Linked DNA regions of Macaca fascicularis. The protein of the gene in region 1 purifies or fractionates together with the protein of each later gene. This does not show direct contact. Links are inferred from orthologs where the notes say so. Each region holds a gene or a part of one and is shown on either strand. Other genes may lie near its edges. The genes, in order: RELB and NFKBIE.

What was found.
Region 2: the proteins of RELB (region 1) and NFKBIE purify together in Homo sapiens (affinity purification with mass spectrometry; 3 studies listed by BioGRID and IntAct, counting the BioPlex papers as one, with this or other methods). This does not show direct contact. The link is inferred for Macaca fascicularis from reciprocal best matches to the Homo sapiens genes RELB and NFKBIE.

What each region holds. Positions count from the first base shown.
Region 1 is NC_088393.1:53,075,100-53,083,186, forward strand, and holds the end of RELB (transcription factor RelB), read left to right. Parts: intron 1-3,248; coding exon 3,249-3,628; 3' UTR 3,629-4,030; downstream 4,031-8,087. Other genes in the region: CLASRP (CLK4-associating serine/arginine rich protein), read left to right, coding at 6,645-6,743.
Region 2 is NC_088378.1:127,252,745-127,260,938, reverse strand, and holds the start of NFKBIE (NF-kappa-B inhibitor epsilon), read right to left. Parts: upstream 7,509-8,194; 5' UTR 7,304-7,508; coding exon 6,939-7,303; intron 4,621-6,938; coding exon 4,518-4,620; intron 3,811-4,517; coding exon 3,588-3,810; intron 2,234-3,587; coding exon 2,145-2,233; intron 1,978-2,144; coding exon 1,738-1,977; intron 978-1,737; coding exon 912-977; 3' UTR 1-911. UniProt on the Homo sapiens protein: Sequesters NF-kappa-B transcription factor complexes in the cytoplasm, thereby inhibiting their activity. Sequestered complexes include NFKB1-RELA (p50-p65) and NFKB1-REL (p50-c-Rel) complexes.

The DNA.
Region 1 (8,087 bases):
GCTCCACCTCCCGGGTTTACGCCATTCTCCTGCCTCAGCCTCCCGAGTAGCTGGGACTACAGGCGCCCACCACCTCGCCCGGCTAGTTTTTTGTATTTTTTAGTAGAGATGGGGTTTCACCGTGTTAGCCAGGATGGTCTCGATCTCCTGACCTCGTGATCCACCCGTCTCGGCCTCCCAAAGTGCTGGGATTACAGGCTTGAGCCACCGCGCCCGGCCTTTTTTTGTATTTTTAGTAGAGACGGGGTTTCACTGTGTTAGGCGGGATGGTCTCGATCTCCTGACCTTGTGATCTGCCTGCCTTGGCCTCCCAAAGTGCTGGGATTACAGGCATGAGCCACCGTGCCCGGCCTAGGAACTTGCATTTTTTTTTTTTTTTTTTGAGACGGAGTTTCACTCTTATTGCTCGGGTTGGAGTGCAATAGTGTGATCTCGGCTCACTGCAACCTCTGCCTCCTGGGTTCAAGCGATTCTCCTGCCTCAGCCTCCTGAGTAGCTGAGATTACAGGCACATGGTGCCGTGCCCAGCTAATTTTTGTATTTTTAGTAGAGACGGGGTTTCACCATGTTGGCCAGGTTGGTCCTGAACTCCTGACCTCAAGTGATCTGCTTGTCTCAGCCTCCCAAAATGCTGGGATTACAGGCATGAGCCACTGCACCCAACCTGTGATCACATTTAACTGCATTTACAGCAAAACCCAAAATAACAGGGGCTTCAACAGGATGGAACGTTATTTCTTGTCTCACATAAATAGTCCATAGGGACTGAAAGTGGCCCATGCCTATAATCTCAGCACTTTGGGACGCTAAGGTGGGTGGACTGCTTCAGGCCAGGAGTTTGAGACCAGCCTGGCCAATATGGTAAAACTCTGTTTCTACTAAAAATACAAAAATTAGCCAAGTGTGGTGGTGCACATCTGTAGTCCCAGCTACTCAAGAGGCTGAGGCAGGAGAATCACTTGAACCCAGGAGGTGGAGGTTGCAGGGAGCCAAGATTGCATCACTGCACTTTAGCCTGAGCGACAGAACGGGACCCTTCTCAAAACAACAACAACAAAAAACATGCCTGGCACTGTGGCTTACAGCTGTAATCCCAGCATATTGGGACGCCAAGGCAGGTAGATCACGAGGTCAAGGGAGAGAGACCATCCTGGCCAACGTGGTGAAACTCCATCTCTACTAAAAACACAAAAGTTAGCTGGGTGTGGTGGCACATGCCTGTAGTCCCAGCTACTCGGGAGGCTGAGGCAGGAGAATCATATGAACCCAAAAGGTGGAGGTTGCAGTGAGCCAAGATGGTGCCACTGTGCTCCAGTCTGGTGACAAGGCAAAAACAAGAAACAAAAAACAGTCTGTAGGTGTGTTCCAGGGATGGTCTGGTAACTGCATGATCATCGAGAGACCCAGGCTTCTGTTATTTTCAGTTTGCCATCTCATGGTGCAAGATGGCTGTTGTAACTCCAGCCATTATGCCCACATTCCAGTTAGCAGAACTTAGTCACATGATCGCATCAGGCTGCAAGGAAGGCTAGAAAAGAGTCCCAGTAGCCTTGTATCTCTAAGGTTTGTCTTGTTCCAAAAAGAGAGTCCCTCTTTTTTTTTTTTGAGACAGTCTTGCTCTGTTGCCTAGGCTGGAGTGCAGTGGCGCAATCTCGGCTCACTGCAACATCCGCCTCCCAGGTTCAAGTGATTCTCCTGCCTCAGTCTCCCGAGTAGCTGGGATTATAGGCGCCTACCACCACGCCCAATTAATTTTTGTATTTTTGGGAGAGCCAGGGTTTTGCCATGTTGGCCAGGCTGATCTTGAACTTCTGACCTTAGGTAATCTGCCTGCCTCGGCCCACCAAAGTGCTGGGATTACAGGTGTGAGCCACCATGCCTGGCCAGAGAATCCCTCTTATAATGAAACTTTTTGATTTGATTGTTATTTTTTCTTAAGTCCTCATTATGCCTAAGAATGACATTTTTTTTTTCTTTTTTTTTTTTTTTTGAGACGGAGTCTCGCTCTGTCGCCCAGGCTGGAGTGCAGTGGCTGGATCTCAGCTCACTGCAAGCTCCGCCTCCCGGGTTTATGCCATTCTCCTGCGTCAGCCTCCCGAGTAGCTGGGACTACAGACGTCCGCCACCTCGCCAGGCTAGTTTTTTGTATTTTTTAGTAGAGATGGGGTTTCACCTTGTTAGCCAGGATGGTCTCAATCTCCTGACCTCGTGATCCGCCCGTCTCGGCCTCCCAAAGTGCTGGGATTACAGGCTTGAGCCACCACGCCCGGCCGACATTTATTTTTTCTGACAATTTTGGGACTGGTGACTTCCCAACTTGTGTCTCCCATGGTCTGGAGATTTCACTTTTTGGGTTGTCTCTGTATGTTGGGGGGCTTTGGAACCTCTTCTCCTTCCTCACTCTCAGGGAAAACTCTCCACAGCTGTGTAGGAGCATGGTTTCACATGCTAGTTCCACAACAGTTGTGTGAGCCTTCCACTGACTTTCCCTCAGTGCCCTCAGTGCCTTAGTTTACTTCTTATTATCACTACTTTTAGAGACAAGGTCTTGCTCTGTTGCCCAGGCTGGAGTGCAGTGATGTAATCATACTTCCCTGCAGCCTCAAACTGGGCTCAAGCAATCCTTCTGCCTCAGCCTGCCAAGTAGCTGGGACTACAGGCGTGCACCACCACACCCAGCTAACTTTTAAATAATTTTTTCGTAGAGACAGGGTCTGCTATGTTGTGTTGGGATTACAGGTGTGAACCACCATGCCAAAAGGCTACATTCTTGGCCTTCAATTTAGTTATTATCTGAGAATGGTGATAGTCCCACATGGATTCTCCTTGGGATTAAGATGGCACCTTAAGGCCAGGCTTGGTGGCTCATACCTGTAATCCCAGCACTTTGGGAGGCTGAGGCAGGTGGATCACCTGAGGTCAGGAGTTCGAGACCAGCCTGGCAAACGTGATGAAACCCCATCTCTACTAAAAAGAATAATTAGCTGGGCGTGGCACGTGCCTGTAGTTCCAGCTACTCGGGAGACTGAAGCAGGGGAATCGACTTGAACCAGGGAGGAAGAGGTTGCGGTGAGCCAAGAGTACACGACTGCCTTCCAGCCTGGGCGACAGAATGAGATTCCATCTCAAAAAAAAAAAAAAAAGGCCACCTTGATATCACATTTTGCAGGAAGTGGGGCATTTGAATTAGGGCCTGGTCAGAAGTTGGCCCTAAATCACACTACACTTCTCTGTCTTCATCCCCGTAGGCCCGTTCCTCCCGCCGTCAGCCCTGCTGCCAGACCCTGACTTCTTCTCTGGCACCGTGTCCCTGCCCGGCCTGGAGCCCCCTGGCGGGCCTGACCTCCTGGATGATGGCTTTGCCTACGACCCTACGGCCCCCACACTCTTCACCATGCTGGACCTGCTGCCCCCGGCACCACCACATGCTAGCGCTGTTGTGTGCAGTGCCGGAGCCGTGGTTGGGGAGCCCCCTGGCCCTGAACCGCTGACGCTGGACTCGTACCAGGCCCCGGGCCCCGGGGATGGAGGCACCGCCAGCCTCGTGGGCAGCAACATGTTCCCCAATCAGTACCGCGAGGCGGCCTTTGGGGGCGGCCTCCTATCCCCCGGGCCTGAAGCCACGTAGCCCCGCGATGCCAGAGGAGGGGCACTGGGTGGGGAGGGAGGTGGAGGAGCTGTGCAATCCCAACCAGGATGTCTAGCACCCCCATCCCCTTGGCCCTTCCTCATGCTTCTGAAATGGACATATTCAAGCCTTGGCGAGAAGCTCCGTTGCACGGGTTTCCCCTTGAGCCCATTTTGCAGATGAGGAAACTGAGTCCGGAGAGGAAAAGGGACATGGCTCCCGAGCACTAGCTTGTTAAAGCTGCCTCTGTCACCACATGTGGGGGAACCTTCTCCAGTAGGATTCGGAAAAGATTGTACATATGGGAGGAGGGGGCAGATGCCCGGCCCTTCCTCCCCAGACTTGAAGGTGGGGGGTAGGTTGGTTGTTCAGAGTCTTCCCAATAAAGATGAGTTTTTGAGCCTCGGGAGTTTCGTCTATTCTGCGCTTGGGAAACGCCCTAGTTCCTTACGTAGCAAAGAAAGCCTCCTGGCTGGGGGCTCAGGCCTGTCATCCCAGCACTTTGGGAGGCCAAGGCGGGAGGATCGCTTGAGCTCACGAGTTTGAGATCAGCCTGGGCAAAAAGACGAAACCTAGTCTCTACAAAAAATACAAAAATTAGCCGGGCATGGTGGCGCATGCCTGTAGTCCCAGCTACTCGGGAGGCTGAGGTGGGAGAATTGCTTGAACCCAGGAGGCAAAGGTTGCAGTGAGCCTAGATCGCGCCACTCTAGCCTGGGCGACAAAGACAGACTCCGTCTCAGAAAAAAAAATAAAATAAAATAAAAAAGATAAAAAGATGGCTGTAACATTCTAGTTTATGCCCTGAAAAGGGGAATATAGTCATTCTATAGTGTTTGGAGATTTTGGGTTACCCTTAATTGTATGCAAGTTGTCTTACTGTGTATTGTCCCTTAATTTCAGGACTCAGATTTCATGCTTGAAGAAATGCAGGTTAGTTTAAACTTTCAAGGAAATTTTTTTTTTTTTTTGAGATGGAGTCTGGCTCTGTCGCCCAGGCTGGAGTGCAGTGGCTGGATCTCAGCTCACTGCAAGCTCCGCCTCCCGGGTTTACGCCATTCTCCTGCCTCAGCCTCCCGAGTAGCTGGGACTACAGGCGCCCGCCACCTCGCCCAGCTAGTTTTTTTGTATTTTTTAGTAGAGACGGGGTTTCACCGTGTTTGCCAGGATGGTCTCGATCTCCTGACCTCGTGATCCACTCGTCTCGGCCTCCCAAAGTGCTGGGATTACAGGCTTGAGCCACCGCGCCCGGCCTCAAGGAAATTTTTAAGGTGGCAAAAGGTTTTAGTGGCATATACATCTTAATCTGTAGATGGGAGTGATTAGCTGTTTAAAAGTTGAAATGTGACTGAAAAGGAAATGGAGTAGGGCAAATTTTAAATGGGATTATTTTTCATCTTCAAACAGGCAGACCTGTTATCCTAAACTAGGGTTTTTAATGACCACAGCAAGCAAGCATGCAGCTTACCGCTTGAAAGACAGGGTCTTTCCTCACCCAAGCTGGAGTGCAGTGGCCCTCTGAAGCTTACTACAGCCTCAGACGTCTGGGCTCAAGTGATCCTCAGCCTCCCAATGGTCTTTGTAGACAGCCTGATGGAGTCTCATGGCACAAGAAGATTAAAACAGTGTCTCCAATTTTAATAAATTTTTGCAATCCAAAAAAAAAATAAATAAAAATAAAAATAAATAAATAAAATTAAAAAAGATAAAGCATCCAAGCTCTTCCCTTCTCGGTTCTACCGCTTCTTCCTCTGACCCCGCCCCTCTCAACCCTAGGACCCGCCCCTCACGTCGGCGGAACTGCGCTGTGCAGAGCTCCACCACGCTCCGCCCCCTCTCCCTAGCGCGGCCTTTCATTTCCGCTTCCTGTGCGGGCAGCGCGCGAGCGCAGCTTTGGGAGGCGGAGACCAGCCGGTGAGTGCAGGCGGCGGGCTCGACCTCCCGGTTTTCGGGCAGGCGTCAGCCCAGCTTCTCCCTTTCCTTAGGCTTTTCCCATACTGCTGTAGGCTTCTGCTGCGTCCCGGCCCCGAGGATCGCTCGTCCCTCACCCCATTCGGCCTGACGGGCCTCAGGCCGCGCCCGTGCCCCGGCTGTGGGCCAGAAGTTGCCGCGTCGGACTCGGCCTTCGGCCAACAGCTTATCACAGTCCCCGCCCCCATGTCAAAAAAAAACCCAAAAAAAACAATCCAGCCCAAATCCTCAGGCCGCGACGCGATCCACAAGCCCTGTCCAAACCTTCGGTCTCCTCCCTTTCCCACAAGCCCTGCCCCCAAGCTCAGCCCACGCCCTCCCGTCAGCCAACTCCGCCTCTCTCAAGCTCTACCCTCTTTTTCCTTGGGTACTCTCCACACCCTGCCATCTAGATCCCATCTTTAGACCTCAACTTCACTCTGGTCTCCTTGCAACACTCTCTTCCCGTGTTCCTACTCCCTCTAGCATCTTCATTTTCCGCCACGCCCTTCACCTGTCCTCGACCTCCACCTTCATGCAACTGCACTGTTCCCTTAAAGGCTTTCTCCGATTTCCTCCACCTGCCTTCATCCTTACCTTCCTTATCCCTCTAGCACCCAGACTCATACCCACGCATGGCCCCTAGTGGGAGCCTTTTCAGCTCTTCTCTTTCTCTTGAGCTCCAGCCTTAGGTGCTCAGGGTTTGCCGTCTGACCCTACTTCAAACTACTGACCCTACTGATGTTTCAAAACTTTCATCCCCGACTCCAGCGCATGGAATGTAGGACACCCCTTTCCCAGGGATGCTCACCTCAGAATCACCTAAGGGTTTTTTAGAATGCCCAAGTTGCCAGATCGAAGTTGTTAGGGATGGACTTGAACATCTGGCATACCGTTCTGCAGCTTCACTTCTGCTCCCTGAAGCTAAGCGATGTGTTGTTTGGGATCGACTCTGTCACCAACTTGTTAGATGACTTTGATTCTGCCCATATGGTTTTCACAGCCCATCTTCCTTTCCTGGTCCCTTCATCCCTCAGGTTGAGGCCCCAGGCTTGGCCTCACCACAATGTGGCACGAGGCTCGGAAGCATGAGCGGAAACTTCGAGGCATGATGGTCGACTACAAGAAGAGGGCGGAGCGGAGACGGGAGTATTATGAAAAGATCGTGAGTAACTGGCCTTTCGTCTGGGGTGGGGGACCCTAGTTTGGGGGACACAGGTCATCCTGGTAAAATCTGGGCTTGGAAGTATGTCAAGACAAGAGGCTTATTTCCTCAGGAGTATATTCATTAATCTTTTCTTGAGCATAGTCATTGTTAGGATCCCAAGAGCTTCTGTTTGTTGTAACATACTGTGTCGTTTGGTGTGGCCTCCCAGTGCCGATCTGGTGTTAGCAAGAAAAAGGGAAGTCTCTGTAATCCTCAGAGCAGTCCTGACGTTAGACTGGCCACCTCCAGAACGTTGTCTGTTTTGCTTGTTGCTGGGTTCCCCATTCCCAGAAGAGCTCAGCCACTCTTGAGGTTTGGCTTGGCACACAATAGGAGTGAGTATTAAGTTGGCTGGGCACGGTGGCTCACACCTGTAATCCCAGCACTTTGGGAGGCCGAGGTGGGCAGATCACCTGAGGTCACGAGTTTGAGACCAGCCTGGCAAAAATGGTGAAATCCCGTCTCTACTAAAGATACATAAATTAGCCAGGCTTAGTGGTGTGTGCATGTAGTCCCAGCTACTCGGGAGGCTGAGGCACGAGAATTGCTTAGCCTGGGAGGGGGAAGCTGCAGTGCACGGAGATGGCGCCACTGCACTCCAGCCTGGGTGACAGAGCTAGATTCTGTCTCAAAAAAAAGGAAAAAAAAAAAAGGAGTGAATATTAAGTGAAACCTGACCACTTCCCTCTCCTGTTTGATGCTTCAGTTGTTTTGGGGGGAAGACCAAACTATCCCTGGCCTAAAAGACCCTTGTGGTCTGACCACTGAGCTTCATCCTTGGACAGCTCCACTGGCCTTCTATTTCTGCCACCACGGGGCTTTGGCCTGTATTACCCCCTCCTCACCTGTTTAACTCCTCTGTCTCCTTGGGATCCCAGCTTGAAATGGCACCTGTTTACTAGGTTCAGTTTTCCTGTCAGATGACATTTATATAGACATTTTCCATTTGCTCCTGTATTACTGCCCCAGCCTCCTCTCTGGTCCGCTGGCCTCCAGTCCTGGCTCCTCCAGTCTGTCCTCCCTAGAAGAGTCCAAGAGGCCTTTCTAAAGCGCAAAACTGACCCTGTCCCTTTCTTGCTCACAGCACCTCTATGGCTTCTAAGTACCCTTGAGAGAAAGCCTAGGCTCCTCACTGTGGCCTTTAGGGTCCTGCATGGCCTGGTCTTTGCCCCTCCTCCAGACTCACACCACCCCACACTGCCTTGTTCCTTTGCACAAGTCATTTTGGCCTCCTTGCTATTCCTCCACTGACCCAAGCACTCCCCAGCCACAGGACCTTTGTATGAGCTCTTCCCATACCTG
Region 2 (8,194 bases), on another chromosome or scaffold:
TCGAAGGTGAGGAATGGGAGGAAAAACGTGGACTCAGCTCCCTTGTGCCCAGCCTCCCTGGGTTACCCTTGTCGCCAGGCTCCTCCAGATGGCAGCCCCCAGGGCAGTGGTGAGGGCTCCAGGGCCTGTGTCCTCTCATTCTTCCTCCTCTCCTTCTATCCCTCATCATTTCCACAGCAAGGACAGGGTCTGTGCTGGACACAGAGAAAGGCCTGGGGACTACTGGCCTCTGACCCCACCCAGCAAGGTCCTACCGTGCTCAGGGCACAATTTCCTTCTCTCTACCTCCACGACAAAGCCACAGGGCAGGCCTGTCTAAAAAGCCCCAATGCACACAGACATGCATGCGCGCAAAACAGCTCTAGAAGGGAAAAGCTTTTTTTAACATCTCTTGCCATTTTAGTGTCATGTTACTGAAAGTTCCTTCCCCAGTGGCTCAGTTCAGAACCTTCCCTGTGAAGTCTTTAAACAGCAGTGTTTAAGGGTCCTCAACAGCAATAAGATGGGACACCCCTCAGGGTTCTGCTTGCTCCTATTTCAGTCTCTTCTCACTCAGGAGAGTCCATGTTTCCCACTGGTTGGCAGTTTCAGCCTGACCCAACATGGGCACACACAAGAGCACCTGCCATTTTCAAGAGAGGCAAACAGGCTTCACCCAGGATACCTGGGACTTTGGGGATCTTCCAAGAATCCCTGTCCACCTGGAAAGCTCTTCCTTCCAGACTGGCTGTCTCTCACTTGCAGTCCCTCCTCCTCAGCTCAGGACTGTACTGGCTGGCCCCAAGCTCTGGCCACAGCAGTCCCTAGGGCACCAGAAGAACACACAGCCTGGGCCCAAACTGCAGCAGTTATGACTCCGGCTTCCAAATGGAAAGAGATGGAGCCCCGAGGATCCCAGACTCTGCCTGGATTCAGTCGGTACACAGCAGCAGTTTCCCTGAGATCTTCAGGTCATCAAAGGGCAAAAGGACAAGGGACTGAGAAGGAGAATGGAGAGAAGCAAGATCAGAGGACACGGGAAAAGGCAACTTGGGAAAGGGGACCCAGGGAAACCTGTTGGGCCACTCCCTCCCCACCAAATGACAGTTGAAGACCATCAGGGAACAAATCTTCATACAAATCCTCAAAATAGTGGCCCCTCTGGGCTTGGCAGAGCCCTGAGGACTTAGGCAAGCCTTCCTTTTCTAAGATAATGCCAGAATATCCAACTTAGGAGGGACCTTAGAGGTGATCCAGCCCATGGACCTGGAGTTGTTTGTTGTTGTTGGGGGGTGGTGGAGGGGGTGCTGGGTACTCATAGAACATTTAGGTTTCTTTTTTTACACTGAACATTTAAGAATAGGAAAGACTGTACAGAAAATCTGGGTTTCACCTCCCCAAAAATTCCAAGACCAGGAAAAACTGGCCCACACTCCTGCTCTGTAAGCCTGTGCTGAAGCTGAGTGCAGAGACCCTCAGGGATGGCTCTCTGGGTTCTTACAGGCCTCATTACACCATGGTCTCATACCTGGCCAACTTCACTGATTCACTTTAACTGCAGGCTCCCTGTAGGGGTCCAAATTTGGCTCCCTGGTCCTGACCAACTAAGGAAACAGGCTCAAGTTCCCATAGTTGGTCAGTGATAGAGTCCTGGTTATACCCCAGGACTCCTGGCTCCCTGGCCCTTTCAGCTAATGACAGAACCTCTCTCTGCTGTGGGTGTGTGAGGCCCTGGAGAGCAAAGCATATGCTTCTTACTTCCTCAGTGAGGTCCTGGGGCGTCTCATCCTCCACGTTCCGCAGCAGGGAGTCAGCACCCGCCTTGCACAGAGTGGATGAGATGCCCATGAGGCCCCGGCCAGCTGCCAGGTGCAGGGGTGTGCACCCGTTCAGCATGCGGGCATCTACCTGGGCACCAGCCTGGAGCAGGAACTGTACCAGGCCCCGCTCTTGGGTTTCCACAGCCAGGTGCAGCGCTGTCTTCCCACTGGTGCCCTCCTGGGAAGGAATAAGGATGTCAGCCAAGGCCCTCAGAGGCAGTGTGCTGGGCCTGGGCTCTGGATAAGGAGGTGAATGCCACCACTTCTGACTGCTGGGCAGGGGCTTGGGGCTGTGTCAGGTGGGGGCAGGCCCTGGGCTGGGCAGTGCTTTGCTGGCTGCCTCACCTGCACGTCAATGTCAGCTCCATTCTGAAGCAGCAGTTCCATGAGTGGTTGGTTCTTCTGAAGGGTGGCAATGTGGAGACAAGCCAGACCTGGGATGGGGTGAGGGTGAGGGCTGCTCATCTGCATCCACCAACTCCCTCTCTTCTGGGACCTCCCTATCACTCAGCCCCAAGGGACTCACTGCCCACTCAATGTCTCTAATCACAAGACTGTTAAAATGCAAACCCCAAAACCCCCTCAAAAGTCTAAGGGGAAAGGAACTCAAAGTTTCCACCTTTTCAGAGTCATGTTATTGAAACTTTCATGCTTCAGGGGTCAGGCTGCTGAGTGACACCCCCAAAGAACACCCTCCTCCTATACACAAATCACAACACACACACACACACACACACACACACACACACACACACACAACCTGCCTTCAAGCCCAGAAAGCCACCTTTTCTGAAAAGCCACCTAAGATCCTCATGACCCTAGCCCTTTCTCAGTGGCCACTTCCTTCTGTGCTCCCCTGGCCTTTTTGCTCTCCTTTCTGGTCTGGACACTCCTGACCCTTGCTTAGTAATAGAGATTTCGATTCAAATTTACATTCTTCACCTCCTTCAAGGCCCTATTCAGATGTCACTGGCTCCATGAGGCCTTCCCGGGCCACCCTATTTAACAATCATATCAACTCTCCTACTCCCCACATTCCTTCCTCTCACTCCGCTCTACTTTTTACTACAGCACTTACTTCCTTTTATGATATTACACAGTTCACTTCTTATATTTATTGCTCATCTCAACCTTTCTCTATTTTGCACCCAGATGCAGGTGTAGCTCCCAAGATAATGTCTGGCACATAGAAAACCCTCAGTACATTTCTGTTGAATGAATGAATCAGGTCATCTAATCTCTATTAAGCTAACTATCTTTTTTTTTTTTTTTTGAGATGGAGTCTCTCTCTGTCGCCCAGGCTGGAGTGCAGTGGCCCAATCTTGGCTCACTGCAAGCTCCGCCTCCCGGGTTCACGCCATTCTCCTGCCTCAGCCTCCTGAGTAGCTGGGACTACAGGTGCCCATCACCACATCCGGCTAATTTTTTGTATTATTAGTAGAGACGGGGTTTCACCATGTTAGCTGGGATGGTCTCGATCTCCTGACCTCGTGATCCACCTGCCTTGGCTTCCCAAAGTGCTGGGATTACAGGCGTGAGACACCGTACCCGGCCCTTAAACTAAGTATCTTAAGGGCAAGATTTAGTTTTCTGCTCAGCACACAGTAGGTACTGGGTAAATTCAAAATCAAATCATCCATTCATTCATTTAGCAAAGATGTACGGAATATCTATGTGCTTAGAGTGGGAGGGGCACCAATGGACAAGCTGGGACCCTCCCTTCCCCAAGAGTGGGGTCCCTATCTCCTATGCCCTCCTCATCCCACAGGCCCTTAAGACTGTCCACACCTTGCCAGTTTTGCAGCTGGAGGTCCAGAGAGTGAGATGTTCCTCTGCCTGGCTCTGGCCGCCCCTCCAGCAGGCAGCGGGCACAGGCCAGGTGCTGGCGCTGGCAGGCCACATGAAGGGCTGTGTCACCATGCCGGTCCTGTAGTGCCCGGCTGGCCCCCTTTAGCACCAGTGCCCGAACTGCACCCGGTTGGTCCAGATGTACAGCCAGATGGAGTGCTGTCTGGAGGCACAAACAGAGGGTCATGGGGCCACTGCAGCATGCTCCCACCTCTGGGAACCTGCTTGGGCTCAAGAATCACCAGCTGCCAGCATCTTCTTTGAAAGTAGCTCATTAAGGCCATAGCCTGTTCTTCCAAGGAAATCCTACCAAGCCCTTCTCCTGTCACCCCCTCCCCCACCAAGCTCTTGTGACCCCAATTCTGGAAGAAAGGTGAAGAAAGTAGCTCCCTGCTTTTCTTGTAAGTCACCTTAGGCCCTGGAGAAAGGACATGTGGGGGCAGAGTCTAGCCCCCCACCCCATGGGGAGACCTCTGTTACCCCCAGAGGGTAGGCTGCAGGAGGAAAGAGAGGCACCAGGCAGTCCCTCCCTGGCGAAACTCTCTGTGAAGGCTCCATTCAGATGTCATCTCCTCTGTAAGCCTTCCCTGGCTGCTGCACACAGACCCTGGACCCTACAGCAGCTGGTATGTGTCTCTATCACAACTCTTGTCACCAGGCTGTGTATTTAGCTGGTGATATGAGTCCCCCAGCCCAGGCTGCAAGCACCTCAGCGCAGAGGCCATGTCTTACTTGTGTCTGTCTCCTCAGTTTCTAGCTGTGTCTGGCATTTGGTTTCCTAAGTGAGCAGCCTTTGGACTGGTGTGCCTGCTGGGGATGGCTGCCAGGGCACAAACAGGTATCTAGGCACAACCCTCTCTCGCCACCAACCTGGTAAAGGTTATTTTGAATGTCCAGGACCTCCTGGGGCAGCAAAGCCAGGCAACAGAGCAGCACCGCTGGGGCCTCGTGAATCACTGCCAGGTGGACCAGCCTAGGGGAGCAGAGGCGGGGCTCAGCGTTAGGGCCCAGGCCAGAGGGAGTGGGTTGGGGTCTTGGGGTTAGAAGGAACACATCAAACTTTAACTAGCTACCCATAGGGTAGGTTCAGGAAGTGAGAGTGTGGGCCAGGAAGTGAGGGTTGGTGTGGGAAGCCAGGATCCTAGGGGTTGGAGCTCCAAGTTCCCACTGCTGGCCTTCAGGAGGGCCTTGGCTGGATGGGCATGTGGGCAGGGTGCTGACAGGACAAGGGCCTTCCTGTCCAGCCTGCCCACACCCACTCCTCTTTGCCCTCAGGGCTCTGCCCGGCCAGCTGCAGCTCAAAGCCAAATTGAAAGCTGCCGAAGTAGTCCAGAGGGGGTTTCCAGGCCGAGCACCCCACTACCTCAGCTCACAGGAAAGGAGACAGATGCAGGGTCACCCCATACCCCCAAGCAACTCAATGTTAACACATTCCAAGGGAGAGACACAGAAACTCTTGGAAGAGGAGCAAGGAGACAGTGCAGCATCCTGTCCTGCTGCCCTTCCCTGGGAGTCAAGAGACACCTCTCAGATAGCACAGACCAGGTCGGGCCTAACAGAGGCCATCCATTCCTGTGTGCACCTCCAAGAGGAGGTCTTTGTAGTGCAGAAAATGTATTTGTTGAGGGGGCCAAGAACCTTAATCTAGGGGTAATGGGGGCAGTTGGGAGGGGAAGTTCCAGTCTCGGGGTTTCCCCACGTCAGGTGGGGAAAATGAAAGCCAGTGCTGGAGGGTCTAGGCCGGGACAGCTGCCTTGGGGCATGAGTGAGGGGGGTAGCTTGGCTAAAAGGCCCGTCTGGACTGGGGAGGGGACTGCTTGGGCAGGAGGGCGGCAGGCTTCGGCGGCAGGCAGCAGGAGAGGCCCAGGAGAGTGACGGAGGGAGGGAGGAACTGCTCTGGAAATCCCCTCGGCCAGGGCCTGCTCTCTGGGTCACATTCTTGCAGCCACCTCCCTCTCTTCCCCAGTATCCCCTCCTCCCACTTCCTCTTCCCACTTCCATACCTCCCACAGCCCAGACACCTCCAACGGAGGGAGGAAAGTGCCCCTCCTCTCTGGGGACTCGCTGGGAAGCCCGGACACTTCTCCCCTCCACACACACACCCAGTCTGGACACAACACCTGCTTCTAACTAGAGATGGAAAAGGCTGGGGCTGAGAGGCTAACAAAAGACGGCAGTGTCAAAAGTTCCCTCTCCTTGGATCAAAGGTCATCAGAGGTATCTTGCATGCAGCCCCCAAAACCTTGGGGTTCTGGACCTGAGGGCTGGTGATCCAGGCAGAGTACAGAAAGGACTGGGTCACTCCTCTCCCACCCACTGTGTGCACCAGCTATCTTTATCAATGGCCACCCAGGATTGGGACCCTGCATCTCCAAAAAGCAGGTTAGGACAGCCACCTCCTGCCTCCCCTACTCCTATTTATATGAGCACCCTTGATCAGGGATTCTAGCCCTCCCCAACTCTATTTCTCATCCCCAGATCCCAACCTTTCCCTCCTGTGTCAATGTTTTCTTCTTCCTGGGGGGCTAAATCCTCAGTTGGCCAACCCATCACACACAACTGCCTTTTACTTCAACTGCCCTCTGGCCCACTCCCACAAAACTCCACCTGGGTCTGAAGGAGGAAGGGTTAAGTGAGGGAGTAAGACACAACAGTTAGTGGGACTTGGGGTCTCTGGAGGTAGAGGATATCAGGGACGCTGACTCTAGCCCTCACTTCCCCTTTCTTAGCAGAGGAGGAAGTAAGCTGGGGCAGCCAGCCGCCTATCTGTCTGCTGGGGCAAGAGTGCCCCAGCCTGGCTCACCCCCTCCTCCTGAGGACCAGCCCCAATCCTACACCCTGGTGGCACCCCCACGCCTAGCTTCCTGGCCCCTACTGGCAACCTGTAACTGGCACCTGTTGCTCCTGGAGACAGAGCATTCTGAGGTCAGGAACTGGGAATCCCAGATATTGAGCAAATAAGGATGTCCCCTTCCCCAGCAAGAAGAAACAAAAAAACTGGACTCGGTCAGGGGAATTTTCTCTTCCTAAGGGTGGATTATTGGTAGATTTCCAAGATGCTGGCTGGGGTCCCTGAGTTAAGGGTCCTGCCAGCTCTGCCCACCCCGAAATGGGAGAACAGAGATGATGCCATGGCCTGGCTGGACCTCAAAAGTTGGCTGAGAGTTAAGTCTGGAGTTTGGAACAGTGAATGGGGACTTGAAGGATCCTCACGGGGGAGTAGGGGTGCCCGGCCTGTTGCGGCTCTTGGGCAGGCCCAGAGTTAGCATCCCGCCTAGCCCCCATACTCACGTGTCTCCGTCCTCGGAGATGTAAGTGAGTGCTTCCAGCTGCTGAGGGCTCAGCGCCCCCACGTGGGGGAGTGGCGGGCGTGGGGCCGGGTCCTCAGCCTCGGGACCCCCCAGCAAGGACAGGCTCTCGGTGAGCGAGGAGGAGCCATAGGTGGAATCAGCCCGCTCCCCATCCGCGTCTTCCTTCTGCTGTGGTTCCTTGGCGGGCCCCGGAGGGTGGGTGCAGGGCTGGGGGCTGCCGTCCGAGGGCCCGGAGGCGGGAGCCGAGGTCGGCTCGGGTAGGGAGCGCAGAGAGCGCAGAGACTCAATGCCAGAGTCGTACTGGCTCTCGTCCGCCTCGTCCGGCCCCTTCCGCGCCTCCGACATGCCCGCGGCGCTGGCCCGCGGGGGCCCGGTCTAAGCAGGATCCGGCTACGGGCTCTGCCGCGCCGCCTTTCCGGGTTGCGGGTCCGCTTGGCAGAGCGGGCGCCAGGCCCGCGGCGGCCTCCTTCCCGGGCTGTGGGGCTCCGAGAGGCCGGCGCACAGCGAGGACAAGGTTCGGAGCGCTGGCCGGGTCCACCCAGCGGTTACTGTGGGCAGCCGAACCGCCCAAGCGGGTCCTCCTCCTCGCCCCGCCCCTCCGGACCAACAGGGTCGCTGCAAGCCGGGTGGCCCCGCCCCCTCCCCGCCCCCGGCGGGCGCTTCCGGAAAGAGGCCCCGCCCCTCCGGAATCCCCCTTCCCGGGCTCTGCGTAGGCTTGGAGTCTGTGGTTCCCGGGCCTTGACTCACTCCTTCGTTGATTCATTCACTCATTCATTCATTCACCGTTTCCCCCTTCCTCCTTCACTCATTAGTTCCACGCATGTACTGTTTCCTTCTGTCACTTCTATTTCTTAATTCATTTGTTTTATTTTTATTTTTTATTTTTTCGAGACTAAGTCTTGATCTGTTGCCCAGGCTGGAGTGCAGTGATGCGATCTCGGCTCACTGCAACCTCCGCCTCCTGGGTTCAAGCGGTTCTCCTGCCTCAGCCTCCCGGGTAACTGGGACTACAAGTAGAGACGGGGGTCTTGCCACGTTGCCCAGGCTGGTCCCGAACTCCTGGGTTCAAGCAATCTGCCTGCCTCGGACTCCCAAAGTGCTGGGATTACAGGCTGCGAGCCACTAGGCCCGGACCATTCATTTGTTTTAAAAGAAATATCTATTAACTGTCTGTACAAGCTGGCATCTTTGAGGGAGGGCATGTAGGTGATGGGTTGCGGAAGCACTGCTTCCTAA